3 linked regions of the Arabidopsis thaliana genome follow. The protein of the gene in region 1 interacts with the protein of each later gene in a pairwise test. Each region holds a gene or a part of one and is shown in the gene's direction. Other genes may lie near its edges.

Evidence for each region. Proteins that work in one complex are often made in the same cells at the same time.
Region 2: the proteins of AGL21 (region 1) and SAC51 interact in a two-hybrid assay, tested with the Arabidopsis thaliana proteins (one large-scale study listed by BioGRID).
Region 3: the proteins of AGL21 (region 1) and AT3G07260 interact in a two-hybrid assay, tested with the Arabidopsis thaliana proteins (one large-scale study listed by BioGRID).

Annotation. Positions count from the first base shown.
Region 1 is NC_003075.7:17,834,420-17,841,665, reverse strand, and holds AGL21 (AGAMOUS-like 21), read left to right. Parts: upstream 1-2,696; 5' UTR 2,697-3,044; coding exon 3,045-3,226; intron 3,227-4,081; exon of another isoform or gene 4,082-4,904; coding exon 4,905-4,983; intron 4,984-5,128; coding exon 5,129-5,190; intron 5,191-5,314; coding exon 5,315-5,414; intron 5,415-5,504; coding exon of another isoform or gene 5,505-5,529; coding exon 5,530-5,571; intron 5,572-5,673; coding exon 5,674-5,757; intron 5,758-5,833; coding exon 5,834-5,971; 3' UTR 5,972-5,978; intron 5,979-6,073; 3' UTR 6,074-6,449; downstream 6,450-7,246. Other genes in the region: SHM1 (serine transhydroxymethyltransferase 1), read left to right, coding at 6,924-7,010, 7,117-7,167. UniProt on the Arabidopsis thaliana protein: Probable transcription factor.
Region 2 is NC_003076.8:25,729,407-25,735,424, reverse strand, and holds SAC51 (transcription factor SAC51), read left to right. Parts: upstream 1-2,111; 5' UTR 2,112-2,277; intron 2,278-2,601; 5' UTR 2,602-3,097; intron 3,098-3,195; 5' UTR 3,196-3,359; intron 3,360-3,445; 5' UTR 3,446-3,488; coding exon 3,489-4,535; 3' UTR 4,536-5,090; downstream 5,091-6,018. Other genes in the region: FKBP12 (FK506-binding protein 12), read left to right, coding at 137-198, 312-364, 514-615; Phototropic-responsive NPH3 family protein, read right to left, coding at 5,200-5,499, 5,571-5,849, 5,930-6,018.
Region 3 is NC_003074.8:2,307,212-2,311,911, forward strand, and holds AT3G07260 (SMAD/FHA domain-containing protein), read left to right. Parts: upstream 1-2,397; 5' UTR 2,398-2,492; coding exon 2,493-3,075; intron 3,076-3,246; coding exon 3,247-3,419; 3' UTR 3,420-3,772; downstream 3,773-4,700. Other genes in the region: AT3G07255 (nuclear transport factor 2/RNA recognition motif protein), read right to left, coding at 78-505, 662-1,115. UniProt on the Arabidopsis thaliana protein: May play a role in the control of plant organ development. Does not show transactivation activity in yeast.

The DNA of each region.
Region 1 (7,246 bases):
GTATGCGTCTCCTTCTCGTAAGTATGTTTGTCGAAAAATAAGAAAGCTAGTTTCTTATAACTCCAATAAAAGAACTATCATTTTTAGCAATTTATAAAACCAATACACCATAATTTCTCTTTATTATTTTTAGTTATCTTTGGTATAGTATCGAATCTTAAATTAATTACTATCAGAGGTATACACTAAAAATGAAATAATGGCCACAACTTTGGAACATTTAGTACAATTTCCACCAGTCTTCAAGTTCCAAGGCCATCTTTTAAACTCGACCTTTGCAGTTACATACTAAAATTATTATTATCTTCGGAAATCTGAGAACATGTTTAAATTATAAACTTTATGGACCCAATATGTGGGATTTAAGTTTTAAAACATCAAAAGGGACACCACCTTATCTCCTTTTCTTGGTCTGATCAATAATCTAAACAAGGTTTATTATCATTCACACTACCACTCTGATTACCCTCTCACGTGAATTCTATAGCACCAACCAGAAAAAAAAAAACTATACTTTATAGAACCAATATCTATTATACATTTTCACTTAACATATTTTTTTGTCAAATGGTAGACGACTACTTATGAAGAATAATGGAGACTAATTATGAAGAATAATGAAACATTACGGTATTCAAATGGGAATATAATCTCTGTTCTTGACTAAACTAATTGGACATAAACGCATGATGAAAAGTTAAATCTAAAATATAGCATTAATTATATACTTAACATGCTTTGTTGGTGTAAAGTTCCAAGAATCACCTGAAAAACTATATTCTATATTTATAACAATAGGTGTCTGTAATATAAATCTGCTACTTGAACAACAGATAGTCAGTAGTATGGGTGTATTATTTAAACTCTATAGTAAGCAATTTAATTTGGTAAAGAAATAGGTCATCTGTGAAACCTATTACTCTTTGGTAACTAGCTCTTATGGATTACAGATTCTATACATGTGTTAGATATTTGGTTTAGTCATTACAAAACATTTCTTAAGAAATAGGTCTTATATATATACACAGCAAAGATAAACACACACAATTACACAAAACAAATATTGTTAAAGGGGTTTTAAGAACCAAAATAAACAAAGATTGTGATAATTCTAGATTGTTTATGTTTTAGACTTGAAAAATATGGAAAACGTAGACAATAGGCTTGAAACGTAAAAGAAAGAGTGGTATAAACCCGTCGAACTAAAGATAATAATGATTATAATTGGTAAAATCGAAATGATTCGCTGATGATTGACACCTGGCGTGAATGAGACTGAATCTTTTATCTTAAGAGGACGATAATTGGGGATTTGGTCACTTGGAAGTTGGAAGCAACTTTAAGATTCTTTGTTAATAGAAAAAGAGCCAAATCTGAATTTGAGTTTGAGATTCGAGATGTGATTGGTTCGAAGCAGTCCAGCCCACGTGGTCTTAATAGATCTTTAATTATCATGTTATCTATCTGGGGCCCACCTAAATCTTATACATCAACGGTATAAAATCGAACTTGGTTATTAGGGTTTGAGCTTGGTTTAGTTCGGTTTAAAGGACATTTGCTACTTTTAAATCAAATTCAATTGATGGATACATTCGCGCTAGGGGTGGTGATTTATGGCAAGTTTGAGGGTTGGTCAAAGTTAAAGTTTAGACATTCAAAGAAACTAAAATAAACACACAAAAATAGTTAGTAATGAAGGATCAGGTGTACGGATTCTGCGGTGGAGCGTGCGAAGACTTCCATCAATTGGTGTTCTCAGGAGCTGTTCCTGCTTCTCCCACGTGTGCCTGTCACAAATGCATATTACATTTTAGATTGTATATTTGCAATATGCATAAGCTTGAAATATAAGTTACGGTTTATATATATATGGCCTTCTGAGTGAAAATATTCTATATATAAGTGAAAATTTTGTATAGCTCATTTCATTATGATATTGAACGCGAGTTGCTTTGAGTAGAAATCAAGCATTAAGCCATCGAAAGTAACAGACGTTATATAGTTATTTGATATTAAATTTCTTGCCATATTTGGAAACTTACGACAAAACAATTAATATGATGAATCTCCGCAACTCCAAGTCCCTGTCTGACACGTGTACTTGATATCGTTTAAAATCATTTATTAATTGACACAAAAATAATTTATTCATTTGTATTTCTACCGAAAGCCATATGGACTAATATATGTTGTACTAGATTAATACTGTATGTTTTTGTTCAATCCATTCTCTTACTTTTTTGGGTAAATATCTTTTGGACAGATCTAATTAATATAGTATAAGTTTTCCTATGACCATAATAAAGGGCCAGAATATTTTTAATTTTCTTTTAATCACCTCTAAAAGATACTAATTAAATTAAGTAAAGCAGCATATAAAGCAAGAGGGTTTTGTCAGAGAAACACAGTCCTGTGATGCGCCCATTCACTATTTTCACATGACATTTGAAATAAGACTTAAGAATAAATTATAAATAATGTACGGACATGTTAAAAAGGAAATATTATTGATAATGGAAATTTACCTAACTCACACTAAGTTTAATATTATTTCACTCCTTTTTATCTAAACAATTCCATTAAGTTTCCACTATCTCCCGTAATAAACAAACTATAAAAAAGAATCAGTGATTAAAGTTGTATATATGACACACATTTAAGCTATATCTATATATTCTCTTAACCTAGGAACTTTATAAGAACTTCTCTCTATTTCATTGGTTTGATAAAATCATACACACAAATACTAATTTTGGACTAGAAATTTAGTACTTTTCTATGTATTAAATCTACCCAAAAATGTCTCAAACTGAGAGGTGAGTGTGTATGTGTGTGTGTGCATATGCATATATATACTTAGTTTATTCCTCGAATAGATTGTTGACTCTTGGCTCAACCTTCCTCTCTCTCTATTTCTACCTTTCTCTTTCTCCTTATTCGTTCATCTTCATATTCCCTTCCCTTTTGGGCTTGGTAAGATCTACAAAAAAAAAAACCCTAAAAAAGAGAAGAACCAGAGGAGATTCAATTAGAGGATAAAATTGATGGGAAGAGGGAAGATTGTGATCCAAAGGATCGATGATTCAACGAGTAGACAAGTCACTTTCTCCAAACGAAGAAAGGGCCTTATCAAGAAAGCCAAAGAGCTAGCTATTCTCTGTGATGCCGAGGTCGGTCTCATCATCTTCTCTAGCACCGGAAAGCTCTATGACTTTGCAAGCTCCAGGTTCTTCTTTTAAAATTATTCATTCTGAAATCTTTATATCTTCTTGATTTTGTGGATGTACATCTACGGAGATGTTGTGTACCACTGTATGCATATAATTTTATGCTACGGTTTTGTTTATTAGAAGGCTTGGTGATATTCACTGAGATATATGTAGCTGTGGGATCTATTCAAATATAGTGGAATTTTTTCGCATCTGGCGGTCCGTAGAACATGTTACATTAATTTTCCCGTATGTACAATAAGATGTGTCTTGTATAGCCGACAAACAGTTTTCTTACAACAAAGAAAGATTAAAAATGAGGTAGAAGTTTTAAAGAAGAGTAATATTTTTGAAGCTGAAAAAATAATTTGAAGTAGTTTCTTTGCTTCATATTTGGGTGATTATATGTACCCATCATCAGTATGTTTTGAAGTACTTTCCTAACATATGTTTATGTGTATGGACATTGACTTATAACTAACTAAGGCTCATTGTTTGCATTTTCCAAATTTAGATATGTTTCAGAAATAGATGAGAAAACAAGTGTGAATGCCCAAACATCACTATTGGAAAGCTAAAAAAGAATTATAATTGGAGACCACGAGTTAGAAGATTGGTATGTAGAGGACTTAATTTCTCAAATCCAATAAACTGGAAGCTGATTTAGTTTAACCCACTAACAAAATGATCTATTTATACTCGTAAACATAAACATGTTTTTGATATTTATATATAATCATATATATTATTACTAAACGATCAGATTACTCTGTATATTTAACTTTATATCTGCAAAATCGTTATAATTGTCTATTTTCTGAGTAAGTTATTCTTTGTTAAAAGTTTGATTAATATAAAAAAAATATAGAGATAAAAAACTAATTATTAGAAAACATATATAAACATGTAATTCTAAATCATATAATATTTTGATTATATATTTTGAAAATTTATATAATTTCATATTTATCAATTAAAACAACCAAATAAAAGAGTATGGTAATGCGAATTTTTGTTTTTCCCTATTTTCCTTGAGGAATTTTATATTAGCATCAACCTTAAGCATTATTAATTCTTCACGTTTGTCTTTTGATAACATTTCTCATGTATCATAGGGTTTACGAACCTCTTGGTAAATGAAATTACTTAGCATATTTAGTCAAGTTTATATACCATTCTTAAAACTAACTAACACCATGTTATTGTTTGCTTGGATTTAAAATAAAGTGTGCCATGCTAATGCATTACATTTATGTCATTTTGTTTATAGCTTAGAACTGGATTCCTTTAAAGTTCTTGCTTATCTACACCCTAGAAATAACATTTAAGCATTTGTTTTTGTTACTTATTGAAAAAAGAAACTAACATCTACTTACTTTATATATAGTTTATCTAGTTTGTGTAACAAATTCGTATTACTGCTGAGTTCAAGATTATATACATTATGTGAAATGTATGTATGTGTACATATATAAGCGTGTGTAAATAATGTTGCCAATGCAGGAAAGTCTATATTGCACAAATTTCTAGGCTATGAGTTTTTTCTTTACGTATGAAAGCTTTTTAATGGAGTACTTGGAAAAACTTCACGATCGAAAATTAATATCTTTTACGTAATTTACTCTAAGAGATGATATGATATGAGTGAATTATATACCATGAACAAGGTATACTAATATTAAATATTTTGAATAGCATGAAGTCGGTTATTGATAGATACAACAAGAGCAAGATCGAGCAACAACAACTATTGAACCCCGCATCAGAAGTCAAGGTATACATATAGATATAGCGACAACTCTAAAGATATGTGATTATATATTGATTGATGCTTTAGCATGATGTTTGATTTTTGAAATGAGATTTTGGTTTACTGAGCTGTTCAAAGTTTGATGAGTTATTTGTGTTGTGTGTTACAGTTTTGGCAGAGAGAAGCTGCTGTTCTAAGACAAGAACTGCATGCTTTGCAAGAAAATCATCGGTATCGCCTTGAACTTTTATAACATTTTGTATTAAGAATTAGTCTTTGATCAAAATATAGAAGGCATGTAAAGGAAATGAAGAAACTTGTAGTTATGGATTGCGGTATGTTTGCTATGAAGCAGGCAAATGATGGGAGAACAGCTAAATGGTTTAAGTGTTAACGAGCTAAACAGTCTTGAGAATCAAATTGAGATAAGTTTGCGTGGAATTCGTATGAGAAAGGTACATAAATACATATACTCTACCTTCTATTATATGCTTTGGAGTGTATTACTCAAAAGATTGACTATAGAACACAACGGAAATCAATAGAACGATTGCTTTTCCGGATTCACAGGAACAACTGTTGACTCAAGAAATCCAAGAACTAAGCCAAAAGGTCACTATGATGAGATATATATATACACACACTGACACACACAAATATCCCCTACCAAAAGTTACAATTCTAATTTTGGGATTTTTGTTGATCGTGGTGCAGAGGAATCTTATTCATCAGGAAAACCTCGATTTATCTAGGAAAGTACAACGGATTCATCAAGAAAATGTGGAGCTCTACAAGAAGGTAACAAATCATGTTTTACAAAAACTCCATTTTCTTTGGAGTAAGAGCTTCGAAGTGATATGGCTTCGACTTTCAGGCTTATATGGCAAACACAAACGGGTTTACACACCGTGAAGTAGCTGTTGCGGATGATGAATCACACACTCAGATTCGGCTGCAACTAAGCCAGCCTGAACATTCCGATTATGACACTCCACCAAGAGCAAACGAATAACAGAGAGGTAAACTTTTTTAATTGATCTTGATGTTTCACAAACATGCATGCACCATTTAGGCATTTTATATATTTTATGTAACTCGTTAAAAACTTTCACAGATTGAAGTTGGAAGATACCATGATGTTGAAGAACACTCCAAAGGCCTTGGTTTGAATAAGGTTCTTGAACTGGAAACCTCTATACACCAAGCCACGTACGATAAGCAGCATGGTTCTTCTAACATAGTCATATTTTCAATCCTAAATATAATTAAAGCATATATAATTAAAATCCGGTGTTGTTATACTCATCTTGAGTATTAATATTGTACTTGTTTATAACCATAGATTCGTCAATTAATAGAGAAAAATCATATGAATTATTATCCTCAAAACTCTCTCAAATATCAATATTCTTAGATCAATAATTTGTTTAATATATATAACCATGCACTTGGTAATTCTAAAATGTTAAATAAACATTTTCTGTTAAGTTTTTTGTTTTGTTGGTTTTATTTTGTAAATTCACCATAATTCTGTTAATCTTATTCCCCCAAACTAACCGGTTTGGAAACTATATAAATTAAATTGATGTGTGATAACTGAATCGGTTATCGTTGACTGCACTGACCAGAAACCAATAAAGGTTCTGTCTTAAAGGGAAACAAATCATCGTCGTCACCAAATCATCACAATTCACAAAGGTTGGTGTAGACAGGGACCTGAGAGATAACGACAAAGAAACAACAAATATAAAATAAAAATCAGAAGAAAATATAAATAAAAAAAGAGGGAAAAAATTCGAAAATTTGCTGCAACCACCAAAAGCTCAGCCAAAAGCAGAGGCCACAATTCTCTCAAACAAGATAAACCCAATTTTGTTATTTTTGTTCTCTCTTCTCTCTCGTTCATGTTTCAAATCTGTTTCTAGGGTTTCACAAACCAGAGATAGAGAGAGGTTTAGCGAAAAATGGCGATGGCCATGGCTCTTCGAAGGCTTTCTTCTTCAATTGACAAACCCATTCGTCCTCTTATTCGATCCACTTCATGTTACATGGTAACAACCCTAAAGTTTCTTCCTTTTATCTCCGAATTTTATAATCGGATTGGAAATTTTCGATTTTTTTTTTTTTTTTTTCTGATTTCTGTTTGTTCCGTTGCAGTCTTCTTTGCCCAGTGAAGCTGTTGATGAGAAGGAAAGATCTCGTGTCACTGTGAGTTTAAGCGCCTTTTTGTATCTCTTGTTTGTTTATAGTTTTCCTTGTGGTTGAAGCAATGGTTTTGATTGTTGAA
Region 2 (6,018 bases), on another chromosome or scaffold:
AGATAATTACACTTACTTGTTCTTATCATCTACGCATACTCAGTTTATAAATCAATATGTTTCGTCTTAAAAGACTTATTTAATTTGGTATTTCCTTGAGCCTAACTGTGTTTTGTTCTTTGGTATATCATTATAGTACAAAGGACGAGGGACAAAAACCTTTCTCGTTCCAAATCGGTAAAGGTGCTGTGATCAAAGGTATAAACTTACTTACTCTGTTTTATGGTTAATCATATCATATCTCTGAACCTATTTGCCTCTTTTTTGGCGAGTGAACATCATATGATTCGATTGTTTAACTTTGCTTACAGGATGGGATGAAGGCGTTATCGGAATGCAAATTGGAGAGGTTGCTCGCTTGCGGGTATGTATACTCTGCTTCTCTCATCATGTTCCTCTTTGCCATCTATGCTTTTATGGCTCTCTGTTGAAGCACTTTTGTCTTTCATGATAGTTTGGGTGTTTCGTTATATGTTTAACATCTTTGGCTTGCGATCTTATCTGCTTCTGCAGTGCTCATCGGATTACGCATATGGCGCTGGTGGATTTCCGGCATGGGGGATCCAGCCAAACTCTGTTCTCGACTTTGAAATCGAAGTACTGAGCGTGCAGTAATGATCTCCCCAGCTCCTAAACTGTGGGTAGATTATTAAACAACCCTTTATGTTTATTGCTTCTGGGATCTTTATGCAACAAAACTTTGTGATGTCATTGCTCTTCTAAAACTCTTGGACAACGTTTTTATCTAAATAAAAGAAAAGACCCGTCTCGTGTTTCAGTTGGAATGTTTGTACTATATTATGATATTATTCCCGTTTTTTTATTTTGATTAAAATGGTTTTGTTTATTCAATCAAAATGCCAATAAAAAGCACAAAAGAATCAAACTAAAACTTCAATCTTAATGACATATCAGACCCAAAGCAAATGGTCTCAACCATAATGAAATTTGAATTGACCACTTCTAATTCAAAACACAGTATAAATTACTGTTCTTAATATCAAATCAAAGGAAGAAAAAAGACTAAAGTTAAAAACTTTTTCAGACAAGATACATAAGTTAACAAAAGAAAGGAAGAAAAAAGAGAGAGACGCGAGAGAAGTCGTGCGGGTAATTAAGCACTTAAAATTCCCGTGCAATTCTTTAATCATCACTTATGCTTCTTTTTTCTTTTTCTTTTCTCCATTTTCATTTTCATTCTTTTTACTTTTCTTTTTCTTTTCACCCACATTCCCCAATCACATAAGTCCTTTTATGAATAATAACTTTTAACATAAATGAAAGTCTACATAATATTTTTAAAAATAAAACAAAAGTATTGAGCTAATTTTGGCGTTGTATAAGCTAGATAGATGCTAAATTGTCAATTTAAATTAAACAATTAAAAAGAGTGGTTAGCTTTTATTCTTTTCCGTCACAATGGGTGTTTGAAACACACACAACACCGCACCTGAACAAATGTACTATTAAAATATAATTAAGGATGAAAAAAAGCTTGAGCACACTTTCACTAACTTAGCTTTCAATAAAATTAAAGAGGGATTATAACCTGAAATAGTATTTATTTAGAAAATAATTAAGGATATAATAAAGCTCGACCACACTTTCACTAACTTAGCTTTTAAAATAAATAAGAGAAAACGTATGAACTTTTACTTTAACGAATTAAGTATATATTAAAAAATTATATTGGTTAGAAAAATATTATTTAATGATAAAGTATAACCTGAAATTATGGACCGTGAGACTTTGTCATCATATATACCATAATTACGTATATACACGTTCGGCCCCCTTGTCCCATTTCTTTCAAGCAAAGCACAAATATAAACATTGCCACCGTTTTTAATTACTAGATTAATTTCCAAGTTACACATATTTTTCCTCTAAATAATTAAAAATTCAAATTGTACAACTTAAATTATGTTACCTTTTGCGTATCTTAGTTTTTTTCTTTTAAAAAAATATAGAATGAAAATTAATTTCGATATATAGAACAAACAAAAAACCGAAAAAATTGAGAATGTGAATTGGTAAAATAAAGTAATGAAAAGGGCAAAAGCGTCATAAAATCTTTTTATAAAGCCTTGTTACTCTTGTTGCCACTCACCTCTTTAGAAATATTTCGTAAAAAAAAATTCTCCGTTTAGACATTATTGTTCGTTGGTCACTTTCATCTCTCTTATCCCTTTGCTTTTCCATTGATTCAGCTCAAAAAAAAACAAAAAAGTCTCATCGTTTTCTCTGGATCTGACCGAAAGATCATTCCTTTCTAAGGTAATCAAAATCCAATTTTTCTCTCTTATAGTCTGTGTCACTGTTCTCTCTGTTTGTGTATCTGGAGACTGTGGTTAAAAACGGTTTGAGTCGTTTGTGAAATGGTAAAGTTCTGTAATTTATGTCTGAATCTAGCTTAGAACATTGTGATTTGTGTATATTCTGAGTTGTAATAGTAAAATGTAGCGTAATTTTGCTGGAATTGATGCTGTGAATACACCCACTTGCTAGACGTTTATAAATCTATGTCCTTTACTGTTTTTGATCTCTGGATTTAGCTCATTTTTGGTGCTGATGAGATTCTTCCTTCGACTTTTTGCACAGATACTAAAGTAGGTTTGAGTGATCAGAATCAATTAGAGTGTGTATAAGAGGAAGAGAAAGAGAAAACAGCATGTGTATTGCCGTATACCGTAAAGTTTTGAGCTTGAATCTGTATTGCCGTGTGATACTGTAGATTGTTTCACCTTTGAAGCAACACCTTCAAGAGTCAAATCCTTTTCTTTCTTATTCATCTTCCCTTCTTTTTCGGTATATTATAAACACTTTTGAAAATGGGATCACAACATTTCTATGTGTACCATTGTGAACAAAGAATCAGCTAGACTAAAAGCTCACTCTCCTTCCACAAACAAAACTTTCCTCCTTTTGGTTTTGGTATCTGTCTACTTTCTTCAATCAAGATTTCCTCAAAGTTATGGTGTGCCAATCACCTGGTAAGACAAGATTTCGAGGATTGAAGTACGAGACCGGAAACGCTAACGAATCAACAATTGTAGTGAGAGTTATTGAATGCTATCAACCGATGGATAATTGCCAGGTTTGTACCAGACAATAATGCTCTTGTTATCATACTTTTAGCTTATATAGTTCTAGTCTTCTAACACTGTGGTTTTGTGATTATTCTTTGTGTTTCAGGCTGAGTACTTCAGACTTCTACTCAAACCAGTCACGTAGTTGGTTGGTGACATTTCGCTGCATTTTTCAATCTGTGATTGTTTTTCGTTCGTCTTTCTTTTACTATTTTCTCGAAAAGGACACAAGAAGTATTGCATTCACTCAGTTGAGCAACTTAACAATCGGTATGCTCTTTTCCCTCTAATTACGCTTGTGATATTACTGACTTTATCTTTCTTGAGCTGATTTTTGCCTCTGTTTTGTCCTGCAGTGTTGTACTTTTTGAAGTTCCCTTGAGCTAAACTGCTAAGAGCATGCCTCTGGATAAGAGGCAACGGGATTTGCCTCTGGGCTTAAGTCCTCAAGCTTGCTTCAAGGATATAGTAGGTCGGTCTGTCCTTCCTAGAATTCCTCTCCCTGAGCTTGGGAAACTATATGCAGCTAAGCTTCAGGCTCGCTGTTTGCAGCCACCACCATTCCAGTCTTTGCTGTGCAGTCATGATAAGGAGTCTTATGGAAAAAGATTCTCACGGTCTGACATGCGGTCTTGGTGCGCTGCTGCTACTACTACTACTACTCCACTTGGAGCATTAGAGTCTTCTCAGAAAAGACTTTTGATATTCGATCAGTCAGGAGACCAGACTCGTCTATTACAATGTCCATTTCCTCTACGGTTTCCATCTCATGCGGCTGCAGAACCAGTGAAACTCTCTGAGTTACAAGGTATAGAGAAAGCTTTCAAAGAAGATGGTGAAGAGTTTCACAAGAGTGATGGAACAGAGTCAGAAATGCATGAAGACACTGAGGAGATCAATGCATTGCTATATTCAGATGATGATTATGATGATGATTGCGAGAGTGATGATGAAGTAATGAGCACTGGTCACTCTCCTTATCCAAATGAAGGAGTTTGCAACAAAAGGGAATTAGAAGAAATCGATGGTCCTTGTAAAAGGCAGAAACTACTGGATAAGGTCAACAACATCAGCGACTTATCATCACTTGTGGGCACTGAGAGCTCCACACAACTCAATGGATCTTCCTTTCTTAAGGACAAAAAGCTCCCTGAATCAAAAACCATATCGACCAAAGAGGACACTGGTTCTGGTCTGAGCAACGAGCAGTCGAAGAAAGACAAGATCCGCACAGCTCTGAAAATACTCGAGAGCGTAGTCCCTGGTGCAAAAGGAAACGAAGCGCTCTTACTTCTGGACGAAGCAATTGATTACCTAAAGTTGCTGAAACGAGACTTAATCTCCACAGAGGTTAAGAACCAAAGCTCCACCACTCACAAGTCACCAATCTTGTTGCTTAAAGAGACAACATGGGGAACAAGAAATCTGCAGACAGATAAGGCGTGAAAGATTCTGACGAGTTAAAACGTGTGAAGTGGGTTTTTGGGTACGTATCCTCTGCACCAGCTTTTTAGCTGTATATAGTGGACTACTTTTAAGTATTATATATGCTACTGCAAATTTCAAAAAGTTAAAGAAGAAAAGAGGTCACTTTCTTCTTCTCTCTGTGTGGAATGAAAAGCCAAAGTCGTCATGGTCATTGATGGACAATGATTATCTTTTTTGGCTGAGTGTGGATGGTGAAATCAAAAGGCAAATATTCAAAGTCTCATCTCAAGCTCGCGTGATCTATGAATCTCCCCTAAGGTAATAAAATATCTCTGACCCACACACACTCTTTTGTCCATATGATGACTAGATGGGTCCATGATTTTTATGAAATATTGATGTCATGTTCATGTAATTAATTTGAGTGTCTGTAATAATGCAAACTATTCCTTTGTCTTTTGCTTCAACCCACATGCTACTGGTATTGTTGTGTCTCTATTGTTGTATTGTTAAATGGTTTTGTAATAAACAAATGGCGTTTTTTGGTTTGTGATAAAAATCGAATCGTTTATGTCACTTATTCCATATTAGAAACCAATAAACATTACAAATTAGGAACAAACAAAAGCTTTTTCTTTTCAAAGAATCAAAATCAAGAAGATACAAAACCATCACTATCACTTCATGAAATTGAGTTCCTCCATCGTCTTGGTTTCCTGGGGGGTGGATGATCAACACCAGCTTGTTCTCCTCCAGAGGATATGTCATGGCTCTCCTGTCCACTCATCTTAGTCAGTTTACTTAGCTTCTTCCAACCGCTGGTCCAAGCCGAAGAAGATGGCGTGTTCTTCACTTTCCCCGTCTTCTCAAACTGTCGTTGCATCACTTCCATCTCGTTCTGAAGCTCGACGTACTTGGTCTTCACCGTCTCTAACTCGAACTTCAACGTGTTAATATCCTTCTTGGCTGCAGCCCATCCTTCCTGCATTCAAAGTAGAGGAATTAGAAAAAAGGAATTTGTGTGAATTTTGATGAGTGTTTTCTCTTACTTGCCTGAAACGATTGTGGTGTTGCTTCGATCAATGTCTTGCGATTTGGGATCATAGGCTGATACGTACCCATGGCTTCTCCTAAAGTGGTTGACTCCTTGAGTGATGTGTTGGCTAAAGCATTGCTGATCTTGACTTGCTCCGAGAAGAGAACTTGAACCACCACTCTCAATGGCAACCTCTCGTTCTGAGCCGCGTGCATACATGCGTCCATTGATAGTTTTTGACAATCCATCACTCGGCATAGCCGTTTCCTCTCATGCTCCGATAATGTCGGATGCGCCTATCACAACAAAATTAAGCCAAAAAAATGTTGAAAACTATTCTACGAATTTACCAAAAAGACCTTCAATATATATATACCTTGAGATATGAATCAATGGCTCTGTATAGTCCATCGTCACAAGTCCTAGCAGATTCCGGTAACGCCTCAGCCAAAACCTGAAACTTTG
Region 3 (4,700 bases), on another chromosome or scaffold:
ACTCAAAACGTCCATCGGTGAAACTTATATACACAAAAACGAGACAAAAAGAGTAACAAAATATGTAAATTTGTAGTTCACAAAGTTGAGGGAACAACGGTTATATGCCTCAACGGATGCGACACATTAGTCCCACCGGCGTGAACGATGAACTCAGCCGGCGAGAAAGACGTTCCATGGCAGACGCAGATTATACTGATCTCTGATTTTGAGTAACGGTATAGAAAACCATTTACGGTTTTGCCCTCGGGACCGTTACCGGTGCTAGTCACGCAAGGCATCTGAGCAAACGGAAGCAAACTGCCGTTACCGTTACTGTTGGTATGCGGTTTTGGCGGCTTCCCACTCTCTTTGGTTACAGAAGAGTTGGACCATTCTTGGGTCTCCGCGTCTTTTGAACCGTCTGTGTTATGCACGGTTTGCTCTGTACCGGTCAGAATGTTGTTAACCGGAGATCTAACCTGTTTGGTTTGGCCAGATTGTGCCCCAATGTCGCCACTTCCACCTGAACATTAACCATAATTCAAAATCATCTACATGCAAATAGCATAATTTTCGTGATTCTTTAACAGAATCAACACATCGAATTATATACTAAAAAAAAACTATATACATATACCAACCAATTTTAGTTTATTTTTAAAAGAAGGTTGTTATATACCTTCTTGGCGAGAAGAGCTGCTAGGATCGGATACGGAGGAGGAGGTGCAAATGGGTGACCCAATCGTAACGTCTTTACTGCTTTCCTTGAGTCGACCCGACCCGTAACCGTTACACATGTTGATAGAGCTCAAATCCATATCATCGCCGTTACTAACTCCGTTATATTCTGTTCTGATCCTCTTGCACTCTCCTTCTTCTCCGCTTCTCTGCTGCTGCTTCGCCTCCCGCTTCTTCCGTGTTTCCTTTATCCTCGTCACATTCGTCGTTCTGCCGTCAAGATTAACGCCGTTATCCTTCTCGAATCCGACGGCGTTAGATTGTCCAAATGTTTTAGATTTCTCCGTTTTCTTGAAAGGACCTCCCAGGGAAAGACATAGCTCGAGCTCGAGCTCGACCTCCACATTCTCATCTTCTACAAACTTTTCTGCCATTGATAAAGATTCAACAAACATATAATGTCAAAAAGATGGTCTCTTGTCTTCCGCAAAATTTTCCTCTTGAAGGGTTTTGAAGCTTCGCCAACTTTGTTGTATGAGAAAGGAATATTATAAGGGGCGGAGATAATTAAAAAGAGAATGGTAAAGGCTTCGGAACATGACACATGTCCGATAAGGATAGTGGACATGGGCGGTTTCAAAATTCACTAAGAGAAAGGTTAAGAAACTTTATTAGCGCTACAATTTCGGATTATCGATAAACGCTTTCCATTTATTTTGTTGGTTTCTATTTCCATTGGTTGTAAAAATCAAGTAAAATTTTGACGAAAAGTACCGAGACGCCACGTGTAACACGTGCATGGAAACAGTTAACACGTGTACACTGAGATCCTGCTGGCTTTGACGAGGACACGTTGGGTGTTTTGAATTCTTGTGTTCGTATCTGACTCCGCGAATCTCGAGCATAAACACGACCCCGGGATTGACATGTGGCGACCATCTTCGAGAGACAGTGCAATAGGTTAGACAGTCCAGGTCAGCAAATGACGCCGTAACGGTTATTCTCATCTGATGTGTGTCGACGTGGTTCATGTTTGGCTGGCTTCATGGGCACGTGCTAGATGACAAATGGCTGTAAAGAATTATGTTGAGTAGATAGATGACTCGTGTCTTTATTCGAATAGTGGAATAGCTTGTTGAAGTTGCTTTATTATAGCTTGGCTATCACAAGTTCCAGCCTTACTCTTGCATGAATTGCACCTGGAAAGTGGAAAGAGGATTGAGACTATTTGAATTGTTGACAAGAAAAACAAAGGAAGATTCTGCGAATACACTGTGGAATATAGCAAATGTTCTTTTCTCGTTGTGATTTTTTCGGTTGATTAAATGTTTAACAAAATGTAAAGCAAAGATTCTAGAAAAAGAAAACCATTCTTGACTTTGCTATTTCTTTGACAAAAATGTGACGATATTCTTATGAACTTTTCATCATATTTTATCATCATAATTTCAAGCCTTACGGTTATCACATGATCCATATTCATGTCAATGTCATGCTTATCCCCGAATATTACATACTACTGGGTTTATGTACATAAGATCCGGTTCACGTTAATGGGCTGATGCTTTTTAGATAAGGCCCAACTAAAGCTGTTTCTTTTGTTAGCCGTGGAAACAAACTGCCCGTTTTGATTTGATCGCCGTAAGGCCCGTAACATTGACAGTGGAGAGGCTGAAAACATGATGGGTATAATAGTCATTTACTTGAGAAGCCTTTATATTTTTCATTGTACGGTTTAACCACAACATATCTAAACCGGTTTCCAAACACATTCTATTACTATGTAACCCCAAATTTGATCTCCGACTTCAAAATCGGAGAAATTTCACGGCATGGCTACAGCCGTTGGAAGCGGGAGCGATGTAGAGGTTGGATTTGCGAAGCTCCAAGGTGAGGATTTCGAGTACTATATGCAGTCTTACTCCATTATTCTCGGCCGGAATTCTAAGAAATCGACCGTCGACGTCGACCTCTCATCTCTCGGCGGTGGGATGAACATTTCTCGCAACCACGCTCGGATCTTCTATGACTTCACTAGACGACGCTTCTCTCTCGAGGTACTTGGCAAAAATGGCTGCTTCGTTGAAGGTGTCCTCCATCTCCCTGGGAACCCCAACGTCAAGCTCGATTCACAGGACCTTTTGCAGATTGGTGACAAGGAGTTCTACTTCCTGCTTCCGGTTTGGAGTATCCTAGGCGGTCCATTGGGACCCAGGCACCACGTCTTAGGGAAGGCTACTGTTGTTCCGTACCATAATTATCATTCGGGTCCAGGTTCCGGGTCGGGTAAGAATGGCGTCCGGAGTAGAGAGTTGTATGAGTACGATGATGAAGACGACGATGAAGAGGAGGATATCAGAGGCAGTGGAAAGAAAACATGGAGAGATGGACATGAAGGAGTATATGCCTCTGGAGGTAAAACCAAATTGCTCATGATAGCTTAACTTCATTGTGTCACTAAATAGATTTCAGGCTTGTTCTAGACTTTGAGTATAAGTTTTACTGTGGTGGTTGATGATTGAACCTTGTTAGACTTAGATTGAATGATAGTGACACCACGACATTGTATCTGCTTCATTTGTGCAGAGAAGAAGAGAGAGGGAAGATCAAAGGCAGATCGTGAAGCTGATGATCAACAATTTTTGCAGCTAATGCATGGTAGTGGTTGGTCTGTGACAGATATTAAAGGAGTATGGAAACGTATGGCATCACAGTCGAGTAAGAAGATACCTATCACAAGAAGACTGGGCTATCCCTGAAGCAAAAGGTAAACCATGGTACGGTTTGCTGATGCTGCTGAGAAAATACCCGGAGCATTTCGTCATCAACACGAGATCAAAGGGAAGAGTTACCCTTGAATTCGTTTCCCTCGTTACCCTACTCTCATAATCATCGAGATGATTGTTAGTGCAGGAGCAGGATGATTGGTAGTATATCTTTTATGTTTCCACGTAATGAGTGTATAAGTGGGTGTTAGGTGTTTTGACCTTGGTGACTCGTCGGATTAAGTTTTTCTCGCTTTTCTTTGTTACGTTGTATATGTAGAATGACAATGACATTGATGAGTAAAACACTCTCGGATTTAACCTTTTCTCTCTCTTCAAGAAATCGCATAAGCTATTTTCAGCCATATACATACTATAGCCTATATGGCTATTCAACATTAATACACTCTCGGGTAAATTTAACCTTTTAGTTGTTTTCTTATGGCGAAAGCGGATTTGGTTTGCATATTATTTAGTTGAAAAGAAAAATCAAACGAGAAAATATATCACAACCCAAAAGTATACTATACAAAATTCAGATAAAGTTGTCTCAAAAGTACTATGCATAGTACAGATAAAGTTGTCGGAAGGAAATATTAGTATGATTTTCCCCGTCTCATTACTGTACATCACTTAGTCAACGCATACACTGTTAAAAGTCAACACATACAATCATTCAAAAACGTTTGGAGTTTAACACATAACACATCACAAGAGTGATCATCACAAATTAGAAGTTTATTTTACAAACTTGAGCCTATTAAGTTTTTACTTTTTGGCCTAATGAAAATTGAAACCACTTTATTCAAACCCAAAAATCAACTTTCTTCTCTTGTTTTATCGGTGGTCAAGATCTAGGCTGTTCGCAATAACATTTATTATTTTTTTTTCCAATAATTTCGTCTTTAGTACCAACTTTCGTTTTATATATTGCTGCCGTACAACTTGCACTTGCTTACATGTTTATTTGTCTACAAATTATTACTTAAAAGTTAAAACAATATACAGAGAAATCTCCCTAAGTTATTGAGTGATAGTTTTAAGTTTTTTTTGTGAGATAAATTAATTACTATTTAGTATTTTACGTAGGTTTTGGTAAGATTCTTCGATTTTTTTTTTACTTACAAAAACAATAGAAAAAGACTGATGCATGACAAAATTCTTAGAAAAAAAAACTGATGCATATGATAACGTGAGTGAAGTTGGTGCTTAGAGTTGCTAATATTAATATATATATATATATATATATATATATATATATTGAGTGAAGTTTTT